2 linked regions of the Stegostoma tigrinum genome follow. The protein of the gene in region 2 interacts with the protein of the main gene of each other region in a pairwise test. Links are inferred from orthologs where the notes say so. Each region holds a gene or a part of one and is shown on either strand. Other genes may lie near its edges.

Region 1 (12,806 bases), on a different chromosome or scaffold from region 2:
TTAATATAATGATCTGCAGAGTATCACAGTATGTGTAGGTCAGTTTACTCAGAGACAGAGACATCGATGTATGCCCATTTCCAAGGGTCACAATTACTATTCACAAATTCAAATCTCCGAATCTCCAGCATTTAGAAAAGTTAAAAACACTCAAAAAAATATTCTGACATAAACCCTTGCCATCCAATTATTTCAAGGTGCACCTTTGTAAAATGCTCTACAATTAGAGATTTATTTACCTTTCACAAGGGTATGACAAGTACAAAATCTATGCAAATAAAGCAAATACAAATTTGAGCTCTACACAGCACAGAAAACGCTGATTTAATGAATTACCTTACGTCAGATTTCTCAAAACAATTCACAAAAGCATTGTTACTTCTGCAAAGACAGAAGCAGTTATGACAGCATCATTGCACAAACAGCAGTAAGAAGAAAGAACAATTAACCTGTTTGTTTTGCTTGTATGTAGATTATACAATGGTGCTCCAATATTTAATCAATTTCCTGAATATTTCCAAAATGCATATCAAGCCAACTGTTGGCAAACAGTACGAAATTGCTATTTAATAAAATTTAGATAATGCAGGAAAAAGAGGGGATGAGACTAATAAAATTCTTCCTGACAGATACGAAACGTCCACCATATGCAGGTGCTCAACAAAGTGTCCAATATGCATTTAAAAGCAAGCAAGTCAGCTAATAGGACAATGGCAATTTTACTTTTATCATAATAATGCTAAGGGGAGCAAATATAATTAGAGTACAGAATAAATATACTTCTGAACAAAAGTGTCTTTTTTAAAAAACAAAAAGATGAATGTTAGTGACTAGGTATGCAGAAGTTTGCAAGAATGTGATTACTTAATTGAAAGCAGTGAGGTTGCTTCCAAGAATGCATAGCCTTTCAATGTTACAAGTAAAATAACTGAAATACATGAAGTTTGTTTTTTCTTTATAGTGACAGTGAAGTGTAGGTGTACTGTCATGTGCATCTGAACAGGTGCTATTCCATACGATAAGCTCATATGGAAATTCTTAACTTTCCATTCTGATTTGAAGAGTAGCAGCAAATAATTTTCTGAAACCAATCCCTAAACTAGCCTAGAGATAAATGGGAATTGCAGATGCTGGAGAATCCAAGATAACAAAGTGTGTAGCTGGACGAACACAGCAGGCCAAGCAGCATCTCAGGAGCACAAAAGCTGACGTTTCGGGCCTAGACCCTTCATGGATGAAGGGTCTAGGCCCGAAACGTCAGCTTTTGTGCTCCTGAGATGCTGCTTAGCCTGCTGTGTTCATCCAGCTACACACTTTTATCTTTAACATCTAAACATTTGTCATTAAAAGTTGGAGAAAAAGTAATACTTTCCATAAGAATATGTTACAACAGCTAACAGAACTAACATGCTTTAGCGTTTACACACAACACTAAGAAGAATGGCACACAACTGAACTGAGGCACACTTTAAATAAACAGAACATTTCATCATTTAGAGCATTCAGCACAAACACCCAGTTGGATTTAGTCATCAGATATTTTAGCTTCTCTGCATTTCCTAGTGATTAACTCTAGTCTTGGTTGTTACTCTAAAGGCAACCAAGTATAAACTGCTCTGAGAATCACCTAAGCCCTTCAATTATGGTTTTGTAATCCCTGCCCACTCTATACAAACACATCAACTCTTCTAAATAGTATCTGATGTCATTTCTCCAAATAGTCTATTCAGTAGGCCTGTATTCCACCTCCCTAACTGTCACATTTTCTACCATATAGTCATCATTAGTGGTTTTAGGATTGTGGTTACTGTCTATTTTTAAAGTGATAATCAGATCAAATCACAACTTAAATTTGAGAACAGTGTGGTTTTAGGTTCAATTTTGGAAACAACCATTTGTGAATAACCAATCATCTAGGCAGTGGGAATATGGTGCGCTCATACCCAACATCGTTTCTATTAACCCATAATATGAAGTGAAACTTACTCATCCAAAGAAAAATATGTTGGTAGCAAACAAAAAAGTTACTTGTCTGGTCCCAAGACTCTTCCTGTTTGATATCAGAAATAAGTCAAAGATTAACATTCATCATATTGCTTGGAGTTCTGTCACTTCCATGATGAAATCATAGCCCAAAAACATCTGCTCTTTTTCATCTGGCATCGCTTTTTCCTTTGTTTCAAATCCCATTAAAAGAGGTGTTTTCAAGACAAATTAAACAGGACGGAAGTCTTTAGCAACATTTACCAACACCCAATGGGAAGCTTTGATCTTACACTGAAAATCCACATAAATGGCAAAAACTAAAGACAAACAGGTCCAGGATGAAGATAAAAGAAATTTTTATTTCTTTGTCTTTTCTTTACAAATATAACAGCTGTTTTCCACTAGCTTTTCACAATTACTTCAAAAAAGGTGTTCCTCCTGTCAAAATACATGATTAGAGCAGAAATAGAAATAAATACCCTTTTTTAAAGACTAATTGAAACAAGATAAATGGGGCAAAGGAAGGAAAATGAAAACATTGTGCATGTTAAATTAAAGCATTTATGTCTGAAATTCAAGGAGATTTATCACCACCACTGCTCTGATTTTAATATTGAACACCAGAGCTAAAAGTGAACAAGAGGACAGGAATTTCTCTTGTCCTTCAGACAGATGAAAGGCTTGCTATCAAACTCATTCTCGCCAGTTTTAATAATAATTACCAGACTTTGTTATTTTTCAACGATGCCTCAAAATAAAATAAAATGTGATATAAGATACTATTCAGAGGTAACAAGGGCAATTTAAACTGAAGATTCCTGACCAGTACTCTTGAGAGATATTGCATTCAGCTTTCAAGGGCTAAAAAGACAGGCCCTGGCTTGCAAGCCACACATCTTAATGGGATTATTTTACAGTTATTCAGAATCATTGAACCTGAAAAGAAATTGCATCAGGCTGAAATCCAATAATTTTACCTCAATGTTTATTTTTTAAATTCCCTTGCTTTTTCATGCACCATATTGTAACTGGGGCAAAAAGTTTATGATAACAAGGCAACACATTTGCTGGAATTTGCCAGTGTCATATTTGGTCCTTGGTCAATTACAGCCCAAGTAACTAAAATTTCTTCTCCATAGGAGGGGGGAGAAAAAGGAGCTGCTAGGTGGAAACTATTTTTCCATAATGGCCTGACAGAAATGAGTTCATTCTCATAGCATCATGAAACCATACACTTCACGATTAAAGTTATAGGACAGAGTTTCAAGAATTGATGGCACTCTGATAGTCAGTTTGGCACTGAACACACAACGTTTATCTGCAAAATGAATTTACGTAATGAGACATACACTGATACTTGGTAAATTCTTAGCCTAATGTAAAGTTGATTTTTTTTATATCAAAATCTGCAGATAAACTCAGTTTTTGTCAAGGTACATGATTATGATTCAGCAGCTGAAGTGTGCACTTCTTGGTAAGTCTATTTGCTGGGCAGTAACTGGCACACACAAAGGCACATGAGCAAAGCAGAGAACAAGACCTCATGACAGGCATGTGGCTACCCACAGTTGGTGACACCAAAGGTGGGGAGCTCAAAAACGGCAGAAGGAAAGCAGAGCCCAGTAATGAAGTTATTCTGGCTGAAAAAATTGTTTTGTGAGGAATGGATGAGATTGGTGGAATGGATATGGTTGGCAACAAATGCTTGGAAATAGCACAGGAGGGATTAGAGAGTAGCATAGGGAATGGCATGGAAGGAAACAATGAAATGGTGGATTTGTTAAGTGTGACAAATAGCAGGGACAATTATTTAATGGTTTATTATCCAAAAGTTATTTTTGATCTTAAATCAAGAAAATTCACCAGATTTGATGTTTTTGCAAAGATGTATTATTTTAATCATTTGACATGAACGTTGTTTCAACAGATGAAGCTAACATTCATATCTTGAACGTCTATACAATCTAACCTGAAAGGGAATGCCACCACACAAATAAATTGAAGAATGGAGTAGTTAGAATACCGCTTCAAAAACAGGAATCCTAAACAGCGATAATCATGGAACAAGGTTCGTAGATAACATGTTGTTATTTTTCCAATGACAGACAAAAAAAATTATAATAGCAAAGAGACTGTACATTCAAATACTATTGAGCTCACCGGATCTAAACCTGTCTTTTCAACCTGGGAGAAAACAGTTTCCAACAAGACTTTCACATTCTATAGTTTTAACCAAATAAAAAACAGTCAGAGCCCTAACAAAAATATGTACTTCTGTACCATGTTTACGCATGGACAGTTTTAAGTAGTTTAATTCCAAACATTGGCATTTTGACTCTGTTGATATATTTGGTGAAAGAATAACTATACTTCCTGTAAAGAGGTACAATTTCAGTACTAATATGATTGAAACATTTTAGTAGGTCTCTTGTTAGTTTAAACATTCAAACATTTAAGATTTATAGATTACAGTAACCGAGGATATGACCTTAATCTCTTTCATGATAATTTAGCAAAAAAACAAAGAAATTTGGAATTAGGCACAAATGAGGTAGTCATTTCCCAAAGTTTCAAGGTACTTCTGTTACTCCACATTCTGACTGTTGTCTCTGTAGTACACCTTGCCTTTATCTGTCTGTGTTGCTGATCTTGCCAAAGGTTTGCAAAAAATAAAGCCAATGTTAAGGAGCATCAATTGATAAAAGGAAAAATAATTAAAATAAATGTAGTTTGCAAAATCTGGAGGTACTTTAATTAAAAACATTGCTAGGTAATGCAAAGCAGGCCATTCCGTTCAGAAAGCATCTTCCAAATAAACCCAAAAATACCCAACGATTTAGGATCTGCAATCTACGTTGGTTCCATGCTTAGAGTGCTCGCATTTAAAAGCAGGGTGTCACCACAACACTGCCTACAAGTGTTCCCGATCATAACGAGAAACGATATCATTACAGATGTTTCAATAATGTGTTTTCACAGATTAGTTTGGTATACATTAGGTCTGATCGAACTAAACACCATTCCTCCAAAAGAATACATCCAAAAGGAATGCTTCTTTGCAGATTTGCAACTTTACTACTGATAACCACACTATTATATATTGGCATAGACCGAAAAGTTAAAAACCTAATGGTATCAGTGTCTAGGGTGTGCCGTACGTAGACCAATAATATTAAGGAAGAATTAGGTTGACAATTGTATGCCTTGGTTGACGCTGTTCCTCATTTGTCCTCAACCTCACAAAGCTTACAGTGCTTCCGCCACGGGACTTACCTCGAATTCTTTGATGTTGTTGGAGGTGACGAACAGGCCGATGCCGATGGGGATGAAAATGAGGCCTATTATAAAGAAAGCGGGTAAGACAGTGCCGGCGGTGAGAATAGGCTGCCAGGCGGGGAGGCGCTGCTGCTTAAATGCGGTGTTGTCCGGTTTCCTGCTCTTGTGCTGCTCACCACCATCATCATCTTTGGGGGAATAATTAGTTGCCATTTTCGGCTCAGACCCCCCCCAGTCAGAGCGGCCACAAGATCACGGTCTCTACGATTGACACACCAAACCCCAATGTACCACTTACCGCTCGGACCTAACCCCTGAGGAGAAAGAAGGAACTAATCCCGGAAACCAAAACCCGAGTACGCTGCTACGCGATGACGTCTATAATTAACGTCATCGCATGATCACGTTCAAGGACGTCATGACGCTCTTGAACATTCCGAGCTGCTGTTTCCATAACGACCAGTAAAGCGTTTCGACAGCAATTTGTTACAGACCAATCAACATTCAGCTGATGGAAGTCTAAGACATGATGAATTGTTTGTAAATACAGTCTTAGGGGCTTGACTAACACTAGGACTTTACTGATATTCCAGGCTGGAAGATACAATAGAGAAAATACCTGAAGATGGCAGGTAGAGGAGTGAAGAGGTCCGAGCGTGGAATCAAACAAAGTAAACAGCTCCCTTAATTATATTACAGATAAATTATGGAGAATGCAAAGCGCTGAAGCAGGATATTCCGTCTAAGTGGTGCTTTGCTCCAGACAAGCCTTCTCCAAACCTCCATCCGGTTTCTTGCTCGTATGTTACTCACCGTCACCGTCTTCGGGGGAAAAAATAGTTGTCATTTCGGCTCACACCCCTCAGTCAGAGCGGCCACAAGGTCAGACTCTCTACAGTTTACCGAAAGAACTGCGGATGCTGTAAATCGGGAACAAAAACAGAAGTTGCTGGAAATGCGGATCTGGCAGCATCTGTGAAGAGGTATCATAGTTAACGTTTCCGGTCTGGCGACCCTTCCTCGGAACTCTTTTCACAGATTGCTGACCTTTTCCAGCAACTTCTGTTTCTGCAATTCACACAGCGAAAGGAGACTGGACCAGACAAGCTGAATCCACCTAACCCCCAATGTCCTGCTTACCGTTAGTCAGGATTCCAAGGTGATACGTCCAAACAATTCCTTATGGCTTACACTTTTATGGGAATAGTGTTGATTGGCTGATATGCTTCGCATTTCTTCTCTTTAACTAGCTTCACAGTCAAAGCACCGAAAATTTCATCTACTCCCTGTTTGACCAATTTCTATATTTCAACTGCTGTCTGGGTTATTTTTCTGAACATCCACATTGGATTTAGTGAGTCTCAAGCTTATGGCACCTTGCACTCCCCTAAAGGAAAATCATGTTTAGTGAACTTGCTGGAGTCTTTTGAAGAGGTAACAGAAAAGATTGATGTGGTTAGCTCAGGCTGGATGGTTGGTACACAACACAAACTGATGCCAACAGTGCGTGTTCAATTCCCTCACTAGCTGAAGTCACCAAGATGAGGTCAGCTATATCACATTCCTCAGTGACAAAAGCAAAGTTGCTTTAAAAGCTCAGCAGGCCTGGCAGCATTTGTGAAGGAGAAAACAGAGTTAACGTTTTGGGTCTGGGGACCCTTCGCAGGGTCATTAACTCTATTTTCTCCTTCGCAGACGCTGCCAGACCTGCTGAAATTTTCTAGCAACTTTGTTTTTGTTCCTGATTTACAGCATTTGCAGTTCTGTTGATTTTTATTTGGTCCATATTCCTCAGTGACTGCCTGCTGCTCAGACTCTCCCCAGAGCCTTGAATCCACCCAGACTCACAGTTATCTCTATGATGTTCAAAGTTCGACAGACAGCTACCCCCCGCGACCCAGTACTGAGTTCAATTATTTTAGGTCCTGAACTCTCCCATGTCCTAGCCCCCTACTCCACACACCAGGCCTTGTTATCAAATAGTCTGCCAGGACACACTACCTCCTGTTGAAAACCAAAAGAACTGCGGATGCTGTAAATCTGATACAAAAACAAAGTTGCTGGAAAAGCTCAGCAGGTCTGGCAGCATCTGTGAAGGAGAAAACAGAGTTAATGTTTTGGTTCTGGTGATCCTTCCTCAGAACAGATGGTGGCTGGAAAAATGTCAGTTTATATACAGAAAAAAAGGGACAGGGATGGGGTCGGGAATGAAGGCTACCTACTGTTAGTCACCAACGGTTCCCATCAACAGCTTTTCAACCTCCTAGCCAGATCATTATCAACTCCTTTATGTGTCCAACTGTTTTTCTCTCTTGTTGGGCTCTTTCCCCACATTTCATTTATTTCTCACAACCTCCCTCCACTCTATCCTCTGCCTATATGCAGACATTTCCTCGCTACCATCAGTTCTGAGGAAGGGTCACCGGACCCGAAACATTAACTCTGATTTCTCTTCATAGATGCTGCCAGACCTGCTGAACTTTTCCAGCAGCTTCTGTTTTTGTACTTCTTGTTGTTGACCATAAAAGTCCTGCCTTCTTGACCCGTTTCCCTAAGGCACTGTGAACCTATGGTTGACCTCCCCACCAGATGTCTTTCTCATGAGAGAGAAGCCCTCTGGTCCTATGGGACTATGATTTAATAGTATACATGGATTTTCAAAAGGCATTTGATACAGTGTCACTCAATAGACTTGTGAGGAAAATTATAGGTCATGGTTATAAAGGTGACAATAGTAACATGGATACAAAAATGGCTGACTGATAGGAAACAGAGAGTAATGATCAGTGGAAGGAAGAATTGTAAACTGCGAAGAGGACTTTATGAAACTCCAAAAACATATTGACAAGATGGTGGAGTAGATGGATAGATGACAGACGAGGTTCAATCCAGAGCTATTCTGGCTCGTAAAAGAAGGAATGCCAAGAAAGCATAGATTTAAAGTGATACGCAAATGAAGCAAGCAAGTTGTGAGAGAAAATGAAAACACTTGGATATAAATGGTGTAGGCATGTTGGACTAAATGGCCTTTATCTGTGCCATACCAATTTGTGATTCGACGCTTCCATTAATTGATCAAACCCTAGTCACCCCAATATTAGTTTTCTGTGTGAGTTTAAGGATAACCTGGAAGATTCTCAGTGTACAGTGCATTAATTTGACTCTACCTTGACTGATGTGATCAATTTGCTCAACAATTAAAGCAAACATTCTGCTATGAGGGTGGTGTAGAGGGGCGTCAGGTTGTGGTTCCACACACATAAGGAACTATTAGCACCTTGATTAAGTTCCCAATTTTCAGAGAATTGTCGAATTTTTACAGTTTTAAGGGGTCCTTCAACCCATTCTGTCTACCCCAACTGTCACATATCCAGAGATAATGGGAACTGCAGATGCTGGAGAATCCAAGATAACAAAGTGTGAAGCTGGTTGAACACAGCAGGCCAAGCAGCATCTCAGGAGCACAAAAGCTGATGTTTTGGGCCTACACTTTGTCATCATCACATATCCATCTATTTTATTTCTATTTTCCTGCACTTGGCCTGTATCCTTGTAACCAATGTCATTTCAAACGTTCATCTATATACTTCTCAAATGATGTGAACTTCTACCACCCTTTCAGCAATGAGTTCCAAATACCTACAACCCTCCAGATGCCAACTCTTCAGCCAATTCGATTCACTCCACGTGATATCAAGAAACAATTAGTGACACTGGATAGTGCAAATACTATGGGCCCTGACAATATTCTGACAATAGCACTGAAGACTAATGCTTTAGAATTTACCACTCCCCTAGCCAAGTTCTTCCAGTAGAGCTAAAATCCTGACATTTACCTGACAATGTGGATGTCCTGTTACAAAAAGCAGTAGAAATCCAACCTGATCAGTTTCTGCCCCATCAGTGTACTCTTGAGCATCAGCAAAGTGATGGAAGGTGTCATCAGCAGGGGTATCAAAGCAGCACCTGCTCAGCAATAACAAATTCACTGACATCCAGTTGATCTCCACTAGGGCAACTCAGCTCTTATCTCATTACAGCTTTGGCTTAAACATGGTCATAAGAACTGAACTTCAGTGGTGAGTTGAGAGTGATTGCCCTTGAAATCAAGGCCACGTTCAACCAGGTGTGGCATCAAGGACCCTAGCAAACTGGACTAAATGAGAATTGGGTCAAAACTCGCTGCTGATTGGAGTCGTATCTGGCACACAGGAAGATGAGTAGTTGTTGGCTGTGGCAGTCAGTCATCTCAGCTTTAGGACATCTCTGCAGGAATTCTTCAGGGTAGTGCCCAGGGCCAAACCATATTCAGCTGCTTCATCAATGATCATCCCACCATCATAAGGTCAGACGTGAGAGGATGTTTGCGGATGACTGCACAATGTTCAGCACTATTTACGACTCCTAAAACATCAAAGCAGTCCATTTTCAAATGCAATAAGATCAGTAACATTAATCAGACTTGGGCTGACAAGTGGCAGGTAATATTCATGCCATACAAATGTTGGCCAATGACCATCTCCAGTAAAAGACAATCTAACCACCACCCCTTGATATTTAATGGTGCCACCATCACTGAATTCTCCACTATCAGCATCCTGGGGTTACGATTCACCAGAAACTCAACTGGACTTGCTGCCATATAAATACAATGACTACAAGGGCAGGTCAGAAGCTAGAATACTGTTGCAAACAACTCACCCGCAGACTCCCCAAAGCCTGTTCACTGTGTATAAGGCACAAGAGATACTGCCGACTTGCTTGGATTGGGTGCAGCTTTAACACTCAAGAAGCTTGATACCATCGGACAAAGCAGCCCAATCAATATGCACCGCATCCACAAGCAATCACAAGCATCACTGATACTCAGTAGCAGCAATGTGTACTATCTACAAGATGCGCTGAAGAAATTCATCAAAGACTGTACCTTCCAAACTTGTGACTACTTCCATTGAGAAGGATAAGGGAAGCAGATAGGGAACACCACTTCCTGCAAGTTCCCCTCCAAGCCACTCACTATGCTGACTTAGAAACATACTGACTTTCATTGTCACTGGGTCAAATCCTGGAATTCCCTCCCCAAGGGCATTGTGGCTCCAGCACATGAACTGCAGTAGTTCAAGAACACAACTCACCACCACCTTCTCACGAGCACCTAGGGATTCTCAATAAATGCTCATCAGTTAGTGATCCTCATCCTTTCACTGTCACTAAATTCATTTTATTCTTCTACAAAGGATTTGCAGAGAAAGCTGAGTTGAAGATAATGAGCTGTTTCTGGAGCGAGATAATGGGAACTGCAGATGCTGGAGAATCCAAGATAACAAAGTGTGGAGCTCTTTTGTGCTCCTGAGATGCTGCTTGGCCTGCTGTGTTCATCCAGCTCCACACTTTGTTATCTTGGATTCTCCAGCATCTGCAGTTCCCACTATCTCTGATACAATTTTAACCTCACTGTGAAGCCTCTTCCAGGGATGCCTAACCAGAAGAAGTTACCCTCCTTCCTCCGGACCAACCTCAGGGAATCTCTCTCCCATTGCATCTCTCTTGCAATCTCTTACTCTCCTCTCCACCTATTTTCTTTTCTCTCCATCTTCGGTCCACCTCCCCCCTCTCCCTATTTATTCCAGAACCTCTTCCCCCCCCCCCCCCCCCCCCCGCTCTCTGATGAAAGGTCTAGGCCCAAAACGTCAGCTTTTGTGCTCCTGAGATGCTGCTTGGCCTGCTGTGTTCATCCAGTTCCACACTATTATCTGAGCTGTTTCTGGAGATTTGTTTGTACCTTCACATGAGAGAGGGAGATGTTTTTTCATGCTTTCTCTTTGCAGACCAGGTGATTCTCTGCTGTACTTGGTTTCATACAAGCCATGGTCACCTGGTCAGGATCCAGTCAGAACATTACCATCAATCATCTTTCCTTTAGTTCAGAACTTATCAGCTACATGTCTCCTTCTTCTGTTCCAGGAAAAAAATGCAACACGTATGTAACTCACAAAGTGTTCCAGTAGATATGATTTCTAAAACTGCAGTCACTTTTTTGTGCAATCTCTTGATTAAAACAGTATTTTCGTTTTTAGAGACAACACAGTGTGGAGCTGGAGGAACATAGCAGGTCAAGCAGCATCAGAGCAGCAGGAAAGTTCATGTTTCAGGTCAAGATCCTTCTCCATTTTCTGAAGAAGGGTCCTGACCTGAAACGTCAATTTTCCTGATGCTCTGATGCTGCCTGACCTGCTGTGTTTCTCCAGCTCCACATTGTGTTGTCTCTGACTCCAGCATCTGCAGTTCTTGCTATCTTTTCCTTTTTAGTTTTGGTCAACAGTCCAAAAATGAAAGGAATAAAAAAGATGTCCTCTTTATGCCCCTATGAATCCAAACACATATTCATTCACTAATTGGGTGAACAGGGCAGATGTGACAAACAGCTCAAGCAGAAATATAGTGGGTAGAAAGTATATGCAAAAAAATGACAAGTCTGTGCACCAAAGACCAAACTACGAAGGAGAAATGAGGTGGACTTTCTCAATTTGTTTTTGGTCTTTGATAATTATGTCACATTGTTACCAACTGTGGTGAATCTAAATTCAGTAGCCGGTTCAGTTGGACCTGTGTTTTTGTCTGAGTTAGCAGTTTTTTTATATGCTTCTTTTCCAGTTAAAGAAAAAGACAAAGCAATTTTGCTTGCTGGCAGACATTACAGGTCTGCTTTACCTCTTTTGTAAGTTCTGTGACAACCTGTACTTAAACTATCCACAAACTGTTGCTGGCAGTTACTTTTTATTTTCCCCTCAGATACTTGGCACCAACGTACCTAATGAAAGTATCAAATACAGCTTAAAAAGTTATGTTTTTGTGTAGCCATTAAGTGATCACAGAATTCCACTTTTGCTTCAAATCTTGGGTGATTTTTTAATAATTAACAATACCATTTTCCCGTTCGCAATGACAAACAAAATATGTGTTGTTCTTACATTTCAGATGATGTTGTTAAGGAGCAGTAGACTTGCATGATAAAAGGAGAGGCCAAAGAAAGATCCTTAGGTGATACTGTACAAGAATTGGAAGAGAAGGTATTGTAAGTGAGGTAATGGAACATGCAACTTTAGTCCCATGCACCTGGGTGACAACAGAGAGACATAGTGCATGTGGTCAACCATATTGAAGATTGCAAACCCATCAGACATTATATGGAGAATTCGAAGTGAGTTACTTTGGAATTGTGGCAGGGACAGAAACCTGATTGGAGGCCTTGGACACAGATTTAGTAAGTGAGAATATGTTCAGCAACTTCAAAGAAGAATTGGATTTGGGGGTTTTTGGGCTGGGTTTTTGTGATAGGTTTGACATTCAATGATTTGGACCATTTTCTAATGCTTCATTCCCAAGTTCTTAATGAACCCATATGCACATGTTATTTTCCTCCCAAGGAAGTAGATTCATGCTAGAGTGGAGGCCAATAGCTCCTGAAGCAGCCCCAGGCCAACGGAGTTGAGTGGCTGCTGAGACTAACAGATTATACGGCTTGCCTTTGTTCAGTGGGATAT
Region 2 (12,263 bases):
AAAATACTACGGACACTAGAAATATGAAACATAGAGAACGCTGGACAAACTCAGCACGTCTGGCAGCATTTGTGGAGAGAAATTTTGTTACAGGTTTTGAGTCTGGTGCAAGACCTTTGCAAAACTCCTATGCAGTTCCGAAGAAGTCATACCAGGCTCAAAATGTTAAGTCTAATGTTAACAGATGCTGCTTGACTTGCCAAATTTCACCAGCATTCTTTGTGTTTGAACTTGAAATTTGTTCTTTAAGTTCATCTAATTGGAAAATTCACTCAATGTAATTCTATGATAAGTCATTTCCAAGACTAGTCAAGGAAGAATGTAGGTGTTTTACCCTTGTTAGTGATATATTATAGAGCATCCATCAGAAAAGAAAATTAGCAGAATAAGCCAGTTCCAATTGGTGTACACAACTGTCTGCGGACAGCAAATTTCCACTCAGGGTCATGATTTTAATTCTCTAAAATTGAATTAAACAAATGTTATTGGTACTGTGGAATCATGAAAGAATCGAAAGGTCCTGCAGTAGAACTCTAATACATATTAATAATATATTCTGAGGAAGGCTTACCAGACCCAAAACGTTAACTCTGTTTTCTCCTTCACAGATGCTGCCACACCTGCTTTCCAGCAACTTTGTTTTTGTATCAGAGATAATGGGAACTGCAGATGCTGGAGAATCCAAGATAATGAAGTGTGAAGCTGGATGAACACAGCTGGCGAAGCAGCATCTCAGGAGCAAAAAAGCTGATATTTCGGGCCTAGACCCTTCATCAGAGAGGGGGATGGGGTGAGGGTTCTGGAATAAATAGGGAGAGAGGGGGAGGCGGACCGAAGATGGAGAGAAAAGAAGATAGGTGGAGAGGAGAGTATAGCGGAGGTGTTCTGCAAAGCGGTCCCCAAGCCTCCGCTTGGTTTACCCAATGTAGAGGAAGCCACACCGGGTACAATGGATACTGTATACCACATTGGCAGATGTGCAGGTGAACCTCTGCTTAATATGGAAAGTCATCTGCCAATGTGGTATACAGTATCCATTGTACCCGGTGTGGCTTCCTCTTCATTGGGGAAACCAAGCGGAGGCTTGCGGACCGCTTTGCAGAACACCTCCGCTCGGTTCGCAATAAACAACTGCACCTCCCAGTCACGAACCATTTCAACTCCCCCTCCGATTCTTTAGATGACATGTCCATCATGGGCCTCCTGCAGTGCCACAATGATGCCACCCCAGGGTTGCAGGAACACCAACTCATTTTCCGCTTGGGAACCCTGCAGCCCAATGGTATCAATGTGGACGTCACCAGCTTCAAAATCTCCCCTTCCCCCACCGCATCCCAAAACCAGCCCAGTTCATCCCCTCCCCCCACTGCATCACACAGCCAGCCCAGCTCTTCCCCTCCCCCCAATGCATCCCAAAACCAGCCCAGCCTGTCTCTGCCTCCCTAACCTGTTCTTCCTCTCACCCATCCCTTCCTCCCACCCCAAGCCGCACCTCCATTTCCTACCTACTAACCTCATCCCACCTCCTTGACCTGTCCGTCTTCGCTGGACTGACCTATCCCCTCCCTACCTCCCCACCTATACTCTCCTCTCCGCCTATCTTCTTTTCTCTCCATCTTCGGTCCGCCTCCCCCCTCTCCCTATTTATTCCAGTTCCCTCTCCCCATCCCCCTCTCTGATGAAGGGTCTAGGCCCGAAACGTCAGCTTTTGTGCTCCTGAGATGCTGCTGGGCCTGCTGTGTTCATCCAGCCTCACATTTTATTATCTTCACACTTTATTAACTTTGTTTTTGTTCCTGATTTACAGCATCCGCAGTTCTTTTTGTTTTTTAATAATATGTCTGTTGTTCTGCCCTATGTTTACATAGTTTCTTCTTTGAGTCAGCATGAAAATATCCGCTTCAGCTCAGTTACAATACAGTGATTGTCCCTGTTGACCAAATCATTAAGCATCCCTGGAGACTGAATTAATTTTTTTAAACCCAAGTTTGAAGAAGCATAGACCCTGCTGTGATCATCCCATTTCCCAAATCAGATTTTTTTTTAAAATGTTATCTATCTCTGTCTTAAATACAGCCAAGGACTTGGCTGTTTTAGCCTCCTGCTTTCCACAGACTCACCACCTTCTGGCTGGAGAAATTCCTCCCCATCTCAGTGACAAAATGTTATTTTGAAGCTGTGTCCTTAGCTCCTAGTCTCTTCCATCATTGGAAACATCTTCTCCATGTTCATTTTATTCAGACCTCTCAGTATTTTGTAAATTTCAATGAAATCCATCACATCCCTTTAAACATCATTGAGTACAGGCCCAGAGACCTCAACTGCGTCCAATATGATTAGCCCTTCATCCCTGGGATCATTCTTATGCATGCCCTCTGGATCTAATCCAATGCCAGCACATCCTTCCTTAGATACAGAGCCCAAAACTGCTCAAATTATTCCAAATGTGGTCTGACCAGAGGCTTATATGACCACAACAGTACCTCTAGTATTCTAGCCCTCTTGAAATGAATGCTACTATTGCATTTGCCTTTCTGACTGCCAACTTGCCCTGCATTTTAACCTTAAGAAAATCCTGAACTAGAAATCCTAAGTCCCTTTGACTTCAGATTTCTGAAGTCTTTCCCCATGTGGAACATATTTTTCTTTATTTATCCTACCTAAGTATACAAGCTCATACCTTCCCACAACGTATTCACCTGCCACTTCATTGCCCACACTCCGAGCCAGTCCAAGTTCTTCTGCAGCCTCCCTGCTTCTTCAATGCTATGTGTCCTTTCATGTATCCTGTTGTCATCTGCAAACTTAGCAACAATGTCCTCAGTTTCTTTGTCTAGATTGTTAATGTATAGCATGAATAGTTGTGGTCTCAACACTGACTCCTGTGGAACTCCACCAGTCATTGGCTGCCATCCTTAAGAAGACCCTATACCCTTACTGTTTGCATCTGTCAATTGGCCAATCCGTTTTCCATGCCAGGATGTTAGAACAGAATAGAATAGCCTTTATTGTCACATATACTCGAATGAGTACAGTGAAAAGTGAAAAGTTGCTGCTTTGGTTCCATCTTAGGTACAGGGTACCTAGGGATTTAATGCGTTTGTTACAGAATTGAAAGAGTAAAATAAAAGGTCCAGAATACGGAATGTACAGTTTTAAAAAGTACTTGAACTACTCAAAGTTTAGAATAAGGATAAAGAGTATATTTTTAAAATGCTCAAATTAAAGGCACCTAACACCATGGGCCTTTATTGAACAGCTTTCTTATCTAAGACCTCTGGAAATCCAAATAACTCCTCAAAAAATTCTTACAGATCTATCAGGCATGATCTCCCCTTGACAAAACTGTGCTGATTCAGCCCATTTTATCATGCATTTTCAAGTATTCTGCAATCTCATCCTTAATAACAAGCTCTTAAAATCTTACCAATGGCTGAAATCAGGCTAACGAGCTTGTAAGTTTCCATATTCTGCCTCCCTAAGACACTGGCAATATTAGTTAAGGATACAAATCATTAAAAGGACGCAACCAAAAGTCAATAAAATTTGTATGAACCACACAATACTGAAGCAATTGAATAAGTTGGCTGTTTAATTGTGTTTTTTTTCTGGAAACAGATCAAGAGAAAAATTTCCCTTTCATAAAGATTTATACCTGTAGTTCTTTAAAGGCTAAACCAGGTTGTTGAAAACACGATGGCAGTATGAACGTTGACAGAGCAGACAACATTGACAACATCTTTTTCCAAAGTATTTTACAGCTTGAACCAAGTGCCTGGCAACCAGGTTTCATAATAGCATTAGTTTATTGGTGGTGTCATATATTTTATGCCTTGGATCTCTGCAAAGATGACACTAGCTTTCTATATAGGTAACAGATTTTATTGATAGTGATTTAAAACATTAATACCTTGCTTTTAGCTTTCTGTTCTTTTCCGCCTTGTTTCCTTATCCTTGAGTTTGCACTCCAGGCTTACTCAATGTCAACATCAATAGTAAACATTTGTATAAACAAACTCAAAACAGTTGCTCATTATGTATTTTCTTCCTTTGTAAGACTAAAATTCTACATTGAACTATGCAAAACATCAAGCGTATGTACATTTAGTCATTTATCAGGAATAGATTTTCAGTCCTCAATTTGTTGAGCTAACAACAACTTGTCGGGGTAACCAGAGAAGGGTCCATTAGGATGAGCTTCTTTGATGAAGCGTGACAGGACAAGAAGGTTTAGGTCAGCTAAACTAAAGAGCTTCAGCCGTGCCTCAGTGAGAGTATGATGCTCACAGTACTTTGCAAACAACATCTTCACTGCTTAACAAATTATTTCCAACTTTTCAGAAATCAGGATACCCAGTGTATACTTCACTCACCTTCAGCTGGGCCTCCCTGTTGTCAGCCCTCATCACAGTGTGGGAACAGTTTATGTAGATTAGCTGGCCTCACCATCAAGGAAAAGGGCAACAGTAACACCAACCATACATCCAGCAGGCTTTCGAAATGGAGCTGTAGAGATGCCTGCAGAGAGAGCAATGATCACAGATGTGATGTGTGTTCTAAGGAGAGCTGTGCATGACAATGCTGGGAAAGTCATATGCTGGAGATTAGTACCTGAAAATGTTGGGCCATTTATCTTCCCTGCTCTGCTGAGGTGCTGAAGCCTCTTGGTGCACTGACTTCTGGCTGGAGGGACACACTCCTGCTGCTGACTTCCTAGGCCTCATCAATACAATTCTGCTTGGTTTAAGAAGCTGTACTCTTCTTTCCACTCTTACTCTACTCTTCTCCTTGGTAAGTATTACCTCACTTTTATCACATTTCCAGCAAGACCTACAGGTGTGTGTGTGTGTGTGTGTGTGTGTGTGTGTGTGTGTGTGTGAGAGAGAGGGAGAGAGAAGGAATTTTGCAATTTGAAAAACTCAACTGCAGTTAAGCCTTTTTGACGTATGCCAGGAACCTTTTGATTAGGAATTCTTCTTTCAAAAAGTTCAGCTTTTTATCCTGATGGTTTCTAATTGGTTTAGAAATAAAGCAGAATGCTAGTATCATGGCTCAGTTAAAAGAGCTTCAGCGAAGTCCACCACAAATCCAAATGGACTATGGTTCTTAGATAACAAAGTGTGAAGCTGGATGAACACAGCAGGCCAAGCAGCATCTTAGGAGCACAAAAGCTGACGTTTCGGGCCTAGATCCTTCATCAGAGAAGGGGATGGAGAGAGGATTCTGAAATAAATAGGGAGAGAGGGGGAGGTGGACAGAAGATGGATAGAGGAGAGGATAGGTGGAGAGGAGAGTATAGGTGGGGAGGTAGGGAGGGGATAGGTCAGTCCAGGGAGGAGGAACAGGTCAAGGAGGCGGATGAGGTTAGTAGGCAGGAAATGGAGTTGTAGCTTGAGTTGCGTGGAAGGGATAGGTGAGAGGAAGAACAGGTTAGGGAGGCGGGGACGGGCTGAGCTGGTTTTGCGATGCAGCGGGGGAAGGGGAGATTTTGAAACCGGTGAAGTCCACATTGATACCATTGGGCTGCAGGGTTCCCAAGCGGAATATGAGATGCTGTTCCTACAACCTTCGGCTGGCATCATTATGGCACTGCAGGAGGCCCAGGATGGACATGTCGTCTGAGGATTGGGAGGGAGAGTTGAAATGGTTCGCGACTGGGAGGTGCAGTTGTTTATTGTGAACCGAGCTGAGGTGTTCTGCAAAGCGGTCCCAAAGCCTCTGCTTGGTTTCCCCAATGTAGAGGAAGCCACAACGGGTACAGCGGATGCAGTATACCACATTGGCAGATGTGCAGGTGAACATCTGCTTGATATGGAAAGTCATCTGGGGGCCTGGGATGGGGATGAGGGAGGAGGTGTGGGGGCAAGTGTAGCACTTCCTGCGGTTGCAGGGGAAGGTGCTGGGTGTGGTGGGGTTGGAGGGGAGTGTGGACCGGACAAGGGAGTCGCGGAGAGAGTGGTCTCTCCAGAAGGCAGACAAGGGTGGGGATGGAAAAATGTCTCGGGTGGTGGGGTCGGATTGTAGATGGCGGAACTGTCGGAGGATGATTCGTTGTATCCGGAGGTTGGTGGGATGGTGTGTGAGAATGAGGGGGATCCTCTTGGGGCGGTTGTGGCAGGGGCGGGGTGTGAGGGATGTGTTGTGGGAAATGCAGGAGACATGGTTGAGGGCGTTCTCGACCACTGCGGGGGGGACGTTGTGGTCCTTGAAGAACGTGGACATCTGGGATGTGCGGGAGTGGAATGCCTCATCCTGGGAGCAGATGCGGCAGAGGTGAAGGAATTGGGAATAGGGGATGGAATTTTTGCAGAAGGTTGGTTGGGAGGAAGTGTATTCTAGGTAGCTGTGGGAGTCTGTGGGCTTGAAATGGACATCAGTTTCTAGCTGGTTACCTGAGTTGGAGACAGAGAGGTCCAGAAAGGTGAGGGATGTGTTGGAGATGGCCCAGGTGAACTTGAGGTTGGGGTGGAAGGTGTTGGTGAAGTGGATGAACTGTTCGAGCTCCTCTTGGGAGCAAGAGGCGGCACCGATACAGTCATCAATGTAACGGAGGAAGAGGTAGGGTTTGGGCCAGTGTAGGTGCAGAAGAGGGACTGTTCCACGTAACCTACAAAGAGACAGGCATAGCTTAGGCCCATGCAGCCCAACTTGTCCCCTCCCCCCACTGCATCCCAAAACCAGCCCAGCTCATCCCCACCTCCCTAGCCTGTTCTTCCTCTCACCTATCCCCTCCTCCCTCCTCAAGTCGCAACTCCATTTCCTACCTACTAACCTCATCCCGCCTCCCTGACCTGTCCGTCCTCCCTGGACTGACCAATCCCCTCACTACCTCCCCACCTATACTCTCCTCTCCACCTATCTTCTCCTCTATCCATCTTCAGTCCGCTTCCCCCTCTCTCCCTATTTATCTCAGAACCCTCTCCCCATCCCCCACTCTGATGAAGGATCTAGGCCCGAAATGTCAGCTTTTGTGCTCCTGAGATGCTGCTTGGCCTGCTGTGTTCATCCAGCTTCACACTTTATTATCTTGGATTCTCCAGCATCTGCAGTTCCCAATGTCTCTGACCACTATGGATCCTGCAGTTTCAGTCAGCACCATTCACAACACCGGATAAATGCAGTGAATACTAGTTTCTGAGCAAATTAAGTCCAAAAACATCAAAACTGCCTCAGTATGCTAAATTTTAAATGCCATGGATCCTTCTGTGTTGCATTTAAAAATGGAATGAAATTAAATACTTGCATTATTTATTCTGTAATTGATTAACTACCCTTGGTCAATGACTCATCAAAGTTGTTCTGTTTGTCTAAACTGGTTTGTCTGCCTTCTTTATTTACTACCGAGGTTTCCTTGTTTTAAAATGACATTTTACAGTGGAGTGGATAATGTAAGTGTGCAGGATTTATTGAAGACATCCTACTTATTGAAGAAGGTGGAACTCAATGCCTAACTGTAATAAGTGAGTAGACATTCTTACTTCTGGTGACTTCCTTGAGGAGGATAGGCAGTCATTTTGTAAGCAAATTAAAGAGAAAGGAAATATTAGCTCCGTAATCAGCAAAGCCGTTTGTAGCATTTGTAAAATAATGATACCTTTATCAAAACTTAAATGAAGTCTGCAAGTGAATGCTTTTGTATAATAAAATATCCTTGAAAATTATTTGGAGCACAAACGGAAAATCTAAAGGGAGGGACTGTTCCAAGGGATGGAATTCTCAATATCTGTTCTCATGAAAAATATGTTGACTTGGGTTCACACAACTTTTTTTTCAAACTTTGTAAAATCTGTTTAATTATTGTTACCCTGAATTCCTATCAATTCTTGTGAGTTGTGTTCCCAGTGAGCTGAGTTTGATTCATTGTGGGACTCTGCAACGTTTTATGAGATTACATCCAACGTGCACATATGTTGGAAATAAAGAGGAACAATACAATCTGCTGGGGAAAGAATGTGAATATTGCCTCACTTAAAGCCAGAACAGGTTCCATATTACTTATGGAGTTAATCAGCCACATTTAATATCATTGCAGCAGTCATATTAAGGGTTTAAGTTTTCTGGACTCATTGGATAGTGAGCATTTTCTCATATGTCCAACTTTGTCAGTTGGAAGGTATTTTTCTCTGGATTTGCTTCTCTTTCTAAATCCCGACATTATATATGTATTTGACAGCACGGCTCAACAAAATATATCTTCTATGACGTTGCATGTATTAGTATCTGTGACATTTTTGCTACTCTTGCTCCCTTCCTTCATTACAATTGTTTATATACCTGTGTATTCACCTTTGTCTCATTTACTACTATTATTTAATTATTATTTGGGTAGAGGAGTTGGGCAGTGAACCAGTTCTCATCACTCCCAGTTTTCTCATCTTTAATGTGCATGTCCATATTAACATTTTCTCAGTTTGTTCCATTGTCCGCTTTGCTTTATCCTTTGTTTTGTTTGGTTTACCCAGTGAGCTTTTCACTTTTATTTATTCAAGTGATGTGGGCATCATTGCCAAGGTCAACATTTATTGGCTTTCAGAAGGTGAGCCATTTTCTTGAACTGGTAAATTTTATGGAGTGAATATAATCTCACAGCGCCATTAGGTAGAGATGCCTGGTCTTCATATATCTTTCACCTACTTCCCATTATCTTTGTGTGCCTAATGCCCTGCTGTCTCTATCCTACAGTTCATTTCTTTCCAGTAAAAGTAGTGGCCTCCTACCAGTCCATCCACTCCATGTCCTGCTAAACAGAATAGTTCATTCATTGGCAGAGAAGAGATAAGAATAGCTTCAGAACAGAATCTGACTAAAGGCTTCAAGAACCCACATCAAAACCTGAATACGACAGTCATAGAGTCATAGAGTTATACAGCACAGAAACAGACTCTTCAGTCCAACTTGTCAATGCTGACTAAATATCCTAAATAAATCTAGTCCCATTTGACAGCACCTGGCCCATATCCCTCTAAACCCTCTGATGAATGGTCTAGGCCCGAAACGTCAGCTTTTGTGCTCCTGAGATGCTGCTGGGTTTGCTGTGTTCATCCAGCCTCACATTTTATTATCCCTCTAAACCCTTCCCATTTATATCTCCACCCAGATGCCTGTTAAATGTTACAATTGTATCGGACTCCACCACCTCCTCTGGCAGTTCATTCCATTTACGTACCACCCTCTGCTTGAAAAAGTCGTCCCTTACGTCCCTTTTAAATCTTACCCCTCTCGTCTTAAACCTATGCCCACTAATTTTGGACTTCCCCACCCCAGGGAAAAGACCTTGTCTATTAACCCTGTAATTGCCCCTTATGATTTTATAAGCCTCTATGAGGTCAACCCTCAGCCTCCAAAACCACAGGGAAAATAGCCTCAATCTATTCAGCCTCTCCCTATAGCACAAACCCTCCAATCCTGGCAACATCCTTGTAAATCTTTTCTGAACCCTTTCAAGTTTTACAACATCTTTCCTGTAGCAGAGCGACCAGATTGAACATAAATTCCAAAAGTGGCCTAAACAATGTCTTGCACAGCCGCAACATGACATCCCAACTCCTGTCCTCAATGCACTGACCAATAACGGCAAGCATACCAATACCTTCTTCACTATCTTATCTACCTGCGACTCCACTTTCAAGGAACAATGAATTTGCACTCCAAGTTCTCTTTATTCAGCAACATACTCTAGGACCTTACCATTAAGTGTATATGTCCTGCCCTGGTTTCCCTTTACAAAATGCAGTACCTTAAATTTACCTAAATTGAAATTATCTAAATTAGGGGTGGCATAGTGACACAGTGGTTAGCACTGCTGCCTCACGGAGCCAGGGACCCAGGTTCAATGTCTGTGTGGAGTTTGCACATTATCTCTGTGTCTGTGTGACTTTCCTCTGGGAGCTCCAGTTTCTTCCCGCATTCCAAAGATGTGCAGGTTAGGTAAATTGTCCATGCCAAATTGCCTATAGTGTCCGGGGATGTGTAGATTAGGTTGGTTACAGGAGAATGGGTCTGTGTGGGATGATCTGAGGGTCAGCGTGGACTTATTGGGCCAAAGAGCCTGTTTCCACACTGTAGGGATTCTTAAAAAAAAATTCTAAACTCCATCTGTCGCTCCTCAACCCATTGGCCCATTTGATCAAGATCCCATAGTACTGCAAGGTAACCTTTGCTGTCTACTATGCCTCCAATTTTGTTGTCATCTGCGAACTTACGAACCGTACCTCCTTTGCTCACATCCAAATTATTTATATTAATGACAAAAAGGAGCAGACCTAGCACTGATTCTTGTGGCACACTGCTGATCACAAGCCTCCAGTCCGAAAAGCAGCCCTCCACCTCTGCTTTCTATGTGCGAGCCAGTTCTGTATCCAAATAACTAATTCTCCCTCGAGCCTCGCTAACCAGTCTACAACAAGGAACCTTGCCAAATGCCTTGCTGAAGTTCATATAGATCATGTTCACTGCTTTGTCCTCATCAATCCTCTTTATTACTGACAGGTCAAAATAAAAGCTATTGAGTAGTTGAAAATAGGTCATATAGAAAGTATGTGTTGGATGCAAGCTGTCAATTGCTGCCAGGAGCTCCTTTCTCTGTGCTGGGCATTTCTCTCCTGAGTGTTCCCCTTCACCTATGAATTGGACGGCCACTAATAAACTGGCTGGTTATCTACTTCCATGAACATGCTGACATTTTAGCCTATTTTCCTCCTTGGAGTGTCCAAGTGAGAAAAGCACTGCTTTAAGGTAACTAATAGCTTAACAAGGCAGTAGCGGCCTTTTCAAGGAACTAGTCATCCAGAGGCCCAGGCTATTGTTCTGAGATATAATTTTGAGTCAGAAGCACTGAGGTTGGCAGTGGCATAGGATGTACTCTGTTCATCACAAAGAGAGCTTTCGTAGAATCAGTACTGACCGAGAGGGCTAAACGGCTTAGTCCTAAGGACATAAGTGCGAAACTGGCATCGGTGATGAGAGAGCTCACAAGAGGGAAAAGCCCACTTGATTTCATCCTCAACAATGTGTCTGTTCTGAATGCATCTGTTTGTGACAGTATTGGTCAGAGAGACCACCATACAACCCTTATGAAGGGGAAGTTCTGTCTTCACTTCAAAGACAACCTCCGTAGCTTTGTGAGGCTCTATGACTATGTTCAATAGAATAGATTTCAAATAGACTTAACATTCAAACCTGTGCATTCATTAGGCATGGGGGCCATCAGCAGTCACAGAACTGAACTCCAAAACAGCCTTAGATCACATGGCTTGGCATATCACCCACCCTACCATTATTAACTAAGGCAGGAGATCAACCCTGGTTCCATGAAAGAAATAGGAGGGCATGCCAGGATGATTATTATTAATGTTTTGGGACCATATTCTCAAACTGTGCACCAGATTTGGTATGTAAGCTTTGGTTTCAAGCCAGAATTCATCCATTGAATCCCAGGATATTTTAGATCCTGGTAGGTTAAAATTCTGAATTGCTAGATTGGAGGCAGGTGGATTTTATCTGAACAATAAAAGCAGCCGGTTCCAACTTACTGACTACTGAGCCTGTTTGACAGGACACAGGGAGCCAGACTGCTTCTCAGAGAAGGTTTGGCATTTTAATAAATACTTCAGTGAGGCTTCAATTCTCAGGTGTAACACACTGGGAAGATTTGAATGTGGTTGACTGTTAACAGCCTTGCGGAACCAACATTACTGTGAAGGCAGTTTCAGGGCAAAGACCAGTACCTTCAGTGTGGCACTTTTGTGGACCTGAGGAGCAGGAGGAGCAGGGGATTTTTCTGCCAGTCCCTTGAACTCCTTCCCCTACCTGAAATGTGCCAAATCCTTTACCTGCAAGGAAAGCCAGACTTCAAGAATTTGCATGCTTAACTGGACTAGCAACCACTCTGTTTCCAGTGAGTCAGCAAGTAAATATTCACTCCACCCAGTGTATCTCCTTTCTTTGTTAATTATTACTTGGTTTGTGTATGTCTTCACTTCAATCTCTTTTTTAAAAAAGCATTTATTTTCCATTGTTTGCAAAAATTTTTTTACCAATGCTAATGCAGTCACCTTCATTAAAAGGTTCCTAAAGTGTGACAAAGTATAACTTCTGACTCTTGTCTAATTTAAAAACTGTGTAACTGCATTGGAAGTGAAGATCAGAAATATCAATTCCATTGATTCCACTATCTCTTTTAAGTGTGATTGTTCAGTGTTAGAATTTTACCATGATTTCCAAATAGGGTAATGGTTGTGTGGCGTTCACATACAGGTGATGCT

What was found.
Region 1: the proteins of atp10b (region 2) and cell cycle control protein 50A-like interact in a protein complementation assay, tested with the Homo sapiens proteins (2 studies listed by IntAct, with this or other methods). The link is inferred for Stegostoma tigrinum from reciprocal best matches to the Homo sapiens genes ATP10B and TMEM30A.

What each region holds. Positions count from the first base shown.
Region 1 is NC_081362.1:27,359,240-27,372,045, forward strand, and holds the start of cell cycle control protein 50A-like, read right to left. Parts: upstream 5,640-12,806; 5' UTR 5,476-5,639; coding exon 5,260-5,475; intron 1-5,259. UniProt on the Homo sapiens protein: Accessory component of a P4-ATPase flippase complex which catalyzes the hydrolysis of ATP coupled to the transport of aminophospholipids from the outer to the inner leaflet of various membranes and ensures the maintenance of asymmetric distribution of phospholipids.
Region 2 is NC_081366.1:25,580,400-25,592,662, forward strand, and holds the start of atp10b (phospholipid-transporting ATPase VB), read left to right. Parts: upstream 1-7,327; 5' UTR 7,328-7,460; intron 7,461-12,263. UniProt on the Homo sapiens protein: Catalytic component of a P4-ATPase flippase complex, which catalyzes the hydrolysis of ATP coupled to the transport of glucosylceramide (GlcCer) from the outer to the inner leaflet of lysosome membranes.